Caenorhabditis elegans: one gene and its partner. The protein of the gene in region 1 interacts with the protein of each later gene in a biochemical or structural test. Each region holds a gene or a part of one and is shown in the gene's direction. Other genes may lie near its edges.

What was found.
Region 2: of the proteins of fem-2 (region 1) and unc-43, one has a biochemical effect on the other in vitro, tested with the Caenorhabditis elegans proteins (one study listed by BioGRID).

What each region holds. Positions count from the first base shown.
Region 1 is NC_003281.10:632,815-636,738, reverse strand, and holds the start of fem-2 (Protein phosphatase fem-2), read left to right. Parts: upstream 1-2,112; 5' UTR 2,113-2,166; coding exon 2,167-2,205; intron 2,206-2,259; coding exon 2,260-2,599; intron 2,600-3,010; coding exon 3,011-3,207; intron 3,208-3,257; coding exon 3,258-3,867; intron 3,868-3,924. Other genes in the region: sbds-1 (Ribosome maturation protein SBDS), read left to right, coding at 1-26; eakr-4 (EAK-4 Related), read left to right, coding at 572-697, 1,046-1,144, 1,199-1,258, 1,319-1,441, 1,499-1,846. UniProt on the Caenorhabditis elegans protein: Dephosphorylates auto-phosphorylated Ca(2+)/calmodulin-dependent protein kinase unc-43/CAMKII in vitro. Involved in the regulation of sex determination.
Region 2 is NC_003282.8:10,348,187-10,352,110, reverse strand, and holds the start of unc-43 (Calcium/calmodulin-dependent protein kinase type II), read left to right. Parts: upstream 1-1,893; coding exon 1,894-1,918; intron 1,919-3,139; exon of another isoform or gene 3,140-3,145; coding exon 3,146-3,226; intron 3,227-3,924. Other genes in the region: Y43C5B.2 (Tyrosine-protein kinase), read left to right, coding at 1-81, 130-666. UniProt on the Caenorhabditis elegans protein: Acts in the signaling of a variety of pathways and processes. Phosphorylates 'Ser-319' of daf-16 in response to stress signals, such as heat, starvation and oxidation, which plays a role in prolonging lifespan.

The sequences.
Region 1 (3,924 bases):
TCGAAGGAGAATTGCAGATTTCTTAAATTTCATGTTAAAAATTTTATTTTTTTGTTGCTTTTTTGCTCTTTTGCACTCAAAATGTGCAGACATTTTTGAGTGTTTTTCTTTTTTTCCCCTCCACACACCCGAGAATTCTTTTTGGATCTCAAATTGTTATCATCAACGTTCCCATGTTTTTTCCCAGTTACCAAAAACTTTTTGTGTCAGGTTTTCAGAAATCATTATTGCTTTTAAATGAAAAGTGTTAATCTTACAAATTTTTGAGAAAAACAATTTGGAAAAAAACCCCAGGAACATGATTTGAAGGCTAGAAAACTAATTCTCTAAGTTTCCCCGGCTCGAAAAAAATTCGTTCAATATTTATTTTCCATCACTTTGCATAATTTACAGTACTCACCAGGCCAGCGAAATTCATGAAATTGTACAATTTTCTTGTTGTTTTTCCAACAAAATTTAAAAATAACCCGGACTAGTCGAAAACAAGGCAGTCGTGGGGTACTGTAAATTAGGCGGCCTACCAAGTTGAGCCTTCGCCAAGTAATCCTCTATTTCCCTGTCACAACCGATAATGGGGCAATGTCTTGGAACCCTGTGCACTGTAGATTCAGCTACAGATAATATTTCCAGCGTCTATCAGCTGGCAGGCCCAGTTGCGGTGAAAGAGAGCCCACGTATTGCTGAACGGGACCCAAAGGTAATATTTTTCGTTTTTTTTTCAGAGTCTTATGTTTTCAATCTTTTTTGCTGAGAAACCTTCGAAAAAAAAAACAAATCTAAGCTTAAGTCTAAACCTAAGCCTATGCCTGGAGACACAAGCCTAAGCCTACGCATAAGCCTAGGCCTAAACCTAAGCCTACACCTAAGCTTAAGCCTAAAGGTTAGCCTAAGACTAAGCTCACACCTAAGCCTAAGACTCAGCCAAAGCCTAAGACTCAGCCTAGGCCTCAGCCAAAGCCTACGCCTAAGTCTATGCCAATTTCTAAGTCTATGCCTTTGACAATACCTAAACGTATGCCTATACCTAAGCTCAAGAAATTTTCAGGTCAAAATCTCTGTGAATCCCGAGGAGGAAAATGTTGAACGCCCCTGTGTACTTTACTCGAAAAGTAACGAGATTATCAAAAAACCGGATATTTTTGAGGTGAGAATATTCTTAATCACGGGCACGGATTTTCTCAAATTTATAAATTTTTAGGAAATCTACAAGCGCACACCGATCACCCTCTCGAATAACGGTAGAATTGACGTTGCCGAGGTTTTTTAAACATATTTTTTTCAAAATTACATTTATCAAGAACTGAATTAATGAATTCAGCTTCCCGCCGGACAACGAGTCATTGAAGTAGAGAACAACGAGGTTCGCGACAAGTATAAAAAAACGTTGTACGAGATTCGGAGAAAATGCAGGGAACTTCAGAATTTGGGTGCTGAGGATGAGGTAGGCGGCCTTCAATGGCGTTTGAGTTAACTCAAGAAAAATCTGCGATTTTTCCAGGAAACCGGTGAAATCATCGATACTCTTCTTATTCTTTACAAGGACTTCTTCTTACTAACCACGTGGAAAATCGATAAGTACGCCCAGTTGAGAAAAAATGCCGCAGTTCAAGCTTACAACTCGCTACCCAAGCTTAGAGCCGACCCCGCTGAATTCCGATGCCACGTGGAGTTTCAGTATCGCGTGGCAAATGAGCTATGGGAGCATTTCAAGGAGACATATATCCACAAATATGAAGCATGTAATTGGGCGGAGAGGGCGAAAGTGAAGGAATGGGATCTTTTGGACAGCCAAGTACAGACGCCGAATGTGGAGTGGGATTATCTTGGCGCGCATGGATATATATGAATAATTGATTTTTATTTTAAATTTTTGATCCATTTTTGATTTGATAAAAATGTTATTAATACAATACAATGCGAATTAAATTAATATTTCGCGCGAGAAACGCGCCAACGCACCGAAAGTGCGCAAACGAGAAGCTTTGCGCGTTTCTGGTGCAGAAAATTCTGCATTATTTTTTTGTTGATTTTTCCTCATTTTGTGTTGAAATCCATTGTTTTTTCTCGGTTTTTCTCTGATTTTTATGTTAAAAACAATTATTGAAATGTCAGATCAACCCAGCTGTCCCACCGAAGCCGGTAGTGGTTTTAAAACTGGAAAAATACATGGAAAAAGTAAACGAGGAGCGGGATGCGGTTTTCGAGGTAGAAAACGGGATTTTATATATTTAATGCTAGTTAGAAAAATGTATATTCCAGGATCACATCGGCGATCGCCGTCGAAGTGTCCGGTCACTTCTGGAGGAGGCATTTGCAGATGAAATGGAGAAAACTAGCTATGACGTCGAGGTTGCCGACACTCCACAACCGCATATTCCAATACGTTTCCGTCATCCACCAATCGCCGGACCAGTTCATGATGTTTTCGGAGACGCGATTCACGACATTTTCCAGAAAATGATGAAAAGAGGCCAGGCGGTCGACTTTTGTCACTGGGTGTCTCACTTGATCGCCACAGAAATTGACGAGAAATTCAGTGAAGTTGCGTTCAGAGATGTTCAGTATAATCCTGATATTTATGTTACCGATAGTACCACAGGTAATTATTAAATGTGCAAAATCTGCTATTAATTTAGCAGACCAAGCATGGGCCTGCTAAATATTCAGCAGGCCTATCCCCATTGGTCTGCTAAATATTTAGCATACCTAACTTGGGTCTGCTAAATATTTAGCAGACCCATCCCCATTGGTCTGCTAATTATTTAGCAGACCAACTATGGGTCTGCTAATTATTTAGCAGACCACCTATGGGTCTGCTAAATATTTAGCATACCTACCATGAGTCTGCTAAATATTTAGCAGACCTATCCTCATTGGTCTGCTAAATATTTTTAGCTGGCCATTCCCCATTGATCTGCTAATTTTTGCAAAAATAAAACTTGTTAAATAGAATTTTTAAAAAATCTTCAAAAACTCAACACTTCTGTTCATCAATACAACTTATTTTCAGAAGCCAAAAAGCTATTCAACGACAAAATTTGGCCGGCGATCGACAAGATTCTCCAGCAAAACGCCGAAACGTGCCCGATTCTGTCTGAAAAGTGGTCTGGAATCCACGTGTCGGGCGATCAACTGAAAGGGCAACGTCACAAGCAAGAAGATCGGTTTTTGGCGTATCCTAATGGGCAATATATGGATCGTGGAGAGGTTTAGGAGGATTTTAGGCCTGGAAAATTACTGAAAAATGAAATTTTTAGGATCCAATTTCGGTGTTAGCGGTGTTCGATGGTCACGGTGGTCACGAGTGCTCTCAGTACGCAGCCGGGCACCTTTGGGAGACATGGTTGGAGGTTCGAAAATCGCGAGATCCTTCAGATAGCCTCGAAGATCAGCTTCGCAAGTCGCTGGAGCTTCTCGACGAACGAATGACTGTCAGAAGTGTGAAAGAGTGTTGGAAGGGTGGAAGTACAGCTGTCTGCTGTGCAATCGACATGGATCAGAAGCTTATGGCGCTGGCGTGGCTCGGTGACTCACCCGGATACGTCATGTCGAACATTGAATTCCGTCAGTTGACACGTGGACACTCGCCATCCGATGAACGGGAAGCTCGGCGTGTTGAGGAAGCTGGCGGCCAGCTTTTTGTGATTGGAGGCGAATTGCGGGTGAACGGAGTTCTAAATCTCACCCGAGCACTCGGAGATGTTCCTGGACGGCCGATGATCTCTAATGAACCGGAAACGTGTCAGGTGCCTATTGAAAGCTCGGATTATCTGGTGCTCCTGGCTTGTGATGGAATTTCTGATGTTTTCAACGAGCGTGACCTGTACCAGTTGGTGGAGGCATTTGCGAATGATTATCCTGTTGAAGGTTAATAAAAATTCTTGGAGAAAAACTAAATTTCCAAAGCCAAAAACTATTTTTTCG
Region 2 (3,924 bases), on another chromosome or scaffold:
CGCATCTCGGAGCCTCAAGCTGGATCACCAAGAAGTAACATCCTGAGTGTGATGCACTGCGTTCCTCCAATGGAAGAAGAGGTAATTAAATAGTTTTAGACTTTATTTTCAAGTATTTTTTAATTTCAGATCAAACACTATGTGATCAAAACCAAAGGCGATAAGATCTTCATCGAAAAAGTATCATTCTTGTCAATCCCAGAAATGGTGGAGTGGCACTTGACTAAGAAGGAATCGGTTCAAAAAGATGTGTTTCTCATCAAGGCAATCTCACGTCAAGCTTGGGAGCTGGACCACGACAATATCGAGCCTCTGAAGAAGCTGGGAGAAGGTGCATTTGGAGAAGTGATGATGGGAACGATGAAGTTTCGGAAAGGAGGAAAGTCAGTTCAAGTGGCGATCAAGCAGGCGAAGCTCTCGAATCTCACAAAGGAGCAGATCAAAGAGTTCATGGGTGAAGCTCGTGTGATGCGTTCACTTTCACATCCCCATGTCGTTCGCTTTTATGGTGTGCCCCGTAGAAGAGTTAACGTTGCACTATGTCGGTCACTGAACGAGTTTCTTGCTAAATGTCACAGAAAATTGCGTTGCGCAACGCCTTTTTTTGTGTGTATGTCTGTGAATTGGCTCTCAGTGCTCAATGAGCTACGCGTTTTTCTTGAATAAAGGAAAGTTTTATGAACAGTTGATAATTTGAAATTTCAGTTTTATTTAAATATTTTTCCAACAACCTCGTTGTGTTTTCGAACATCAAAAATAATTTTTAAGATTCAGTCGAAGCTTTGTGCAACTTGTATTTAGGACATAATCTAAAATAGTTTTCCTCTCGAATCTCAGAGCTGTTGAAAAATATAATTAATTAATTTTGTACTATTTTGAATTAAAAAAACGCATTTTGGAAGATTTTGACTGCAGATATATGCAATTCAGAGTTAGATTTGAAGATGAAGCATCACAAACTGGAAAAGGCTTAATACCGCAAGTAGAGTTTTCACTTACTAATTTTTTACAAAATTTATTATTTACGTTCTAATCAACTTTTTTTTTTGAAAATTTTTCAGGTTCGAACCAGCAAAAATTCTCAAAATAACAAGACTTTGTTGTTGAAGTTTTGGCAATTTACCAAATTTTGACTGAAAGTTGTAAAGATTTAAATGGCGTTAGGAGCGTTTAATAATGATATTCAATTATGTTGGACTAAGTGTACAAAACTTTAAAAAAATTTGAAAGTATACATAGATTATTTCTAAAGAAGACGCCTATGAGTCTGTGGCAACGATATTTCAGAAGAACATTTTCAGACTCACAAGCTCTTTCGAAGCGTTTTTTAAGCGTTTTTCGAAAACAATACCAAGAAATGAATTACAAAATTTTTTTATTTAATGGTTTGTGTCTTCAATTAAAACACAGTTTTTTGAATAGATCAGATTCACCATGTCTGAATCCTTTAAAAAGTTCACTGCTTTTTGGGAATTTTTTTTGATAAATGAAAAAATATGCAAGAATCCAAAACCAAAGTTTTATACGGAGAAATGAAAATTTAAACTCAGAATAATCCGATAATTAGTCAAAATTCAACACATCATCGCCCCGCACTGTCTAGAAACCAGTTTCTCGTCTTCCATTTATTTTTCTTTTGAAAAAAGGCATTTTACGTACGTTTCGCCTTCTTTTTTCTCTCTTTTCAAAATCAAAGTTTTGTTATCGTAGTCAATTTTGTAGCATAGGACACAAAAAACACAGAAAAACTAGAGAAACATAGAGAAAACACACCGAGACCTACTCGTACGAAAGTTGAGAAATTGAAGAGTGAAATTAAATTGATTCTAATTGATTAGTAGTTACTGTCATTGTACCTATCTATCAACTTTCAAACTATAAATTATTGATTGAATGAGCAATTCTTCCACAAATTCAGGTTAGATTGTTTCTATTTTAATATTCCTATCTTCTAACAATTGAAAATATATATGATTCATGTTGACTGAGATTGATTGGTAGAAATAACAAAAAAAAGTTAGATAACATCGAACATAATTTGTTTGCATTCTTTGTTCTGCAGATTAGAACACAAAATTTATATCATGAAACTTTTTTTTAATTTGTAAGATAAGAAATGCGGGGTACATTCACACTGAAAACTGGAATTCCTTATTGATTTTTTTGAATAAGAAAAGTTTATTTTCGACTACGAGACTATTATTCAATAAGCCGTTAACATAGTCCCGAAAATTTTTACCTACATGCCTTCACCTACCTCGTACCTTCTTATCTATATTTTTCATTTCTAATTTTTAGAGTAATGCCTGTAAGAATTTAGAATTTTGTAAACATGGCCAAATATTATAATTACTAAACACTCTAATCATTTTTACTCAAAGTTTTGGTAGAGTGTCAAAATTTCAAAAGAAAAAGGTTTTTTTAACGACTGCCAGTTTTTGAAAAGGTTTACTATGAAATTTTGTATTAAAACATTGTCTAGTCTCAAACTAGAGTTTAGAACTCAATTAGATATTAGTCTAACTATATTATTCGAGTTGAGATCTACATGTGTGGGAAATTTCAAAACTTCAAAACTTGATTTTTTAAGTTCCCTCCTTGCCACTCGATTGTTTTGTGAAATTAATAGGAAAATTGATTAGAAAAAATGATTTTCTTGCATATTTCATCAAAAGTGCTGTGATTCCTTAGTAGTTCAGAGTTGCTGTAGCCTATAAGTTTTCCATGTTTGTTGCCAAGAAAACAGGTTTTTTTGGTGAAAAATAAGCTACATTAAAATCGAATAGGTCAGTTCCAAAACGAATGAACTCTGAAGATTGGAAATTGACCTCTCTTGCAATTAACCCATTAGCCAGAGACAAGCACAACACTCAAAAGTCAATCTAAATCTTACTTTCTGATTCATCCTTTTCCTTTACAATATATTCTGACTTCTGAATTCCAAAAGTTCAAAGAATACTCAAAAATTAACAAAAGTCGACCTGACATTTTGTAAGTGTCTATGTGTGCCAACAATTCGTCCGTTGAAATTTGAGAATTCGATCGTCGTCGTCGTCAGTCGAAGCCAGGCGACACATAACATTTTTTTTTCATTTTCATTTCTTCTTCAAAGAATTTAATAATATTAATCCATATTTTCTTTCAGAGGTCAATATAGATCAGAACAATCAATCAGACACGTTCAGGGAACATCCGGCAGTTACAGGCATTGCCAATCTTTCAAAAGGTATTCATTTTTCAATCTTTCAAATGTTTTCAAAGCATTTTAGAAAAATTTTGTTACAAATTTAGCAACTTAAGATAATAAATATGCGTAAATTTTTATTTTTTAAATACATTTTTAATTTGTTTTAAAAATTTTGAATTTACAGTCAAAAAGTGGACTCAGTTTTTATCTATAATAATTTTGGAAGTCGATCAAAAAACTCTATGAATTCCATACTTTATTCACGCTAGAGTTTAACAACTGTAGAGGCGGTGTGCGGCAAATTTTGAAATTTTCCGAGTTTGGCAAACTCGGCAAATTCTGCAAATTTACCGTGGTCGTCATACTCTCTAAATCGCAATATTTTTTTGAGCTCGAAAAGCGTCAAATTTAATGAAAAAATCTTGCAATTAGTTCACCGATTTTCGTTCGATTTTTGCCAAATGCTCATGTGTATATCTTGAATAAAAATGAAAGAAAAACGATTATTCTTTCATGAAGTTTCAGATCGAAACCATGCACAAATTTTTCATTAAAAATATTTTTTATGTGCGGTGAATGTCAAAATTTGCCAAGCTCGGCGAATTCGGCGAGTCTACATTTTTGAAATTAGCGATGCTCAGCAAACTCGGCAAATTCAGCAAATTTACCGCACACCCCTGTTGTAGATGTTGGAATCGCAAATAAACAAAACACTGTGATTTTAACAAAGGCAACAT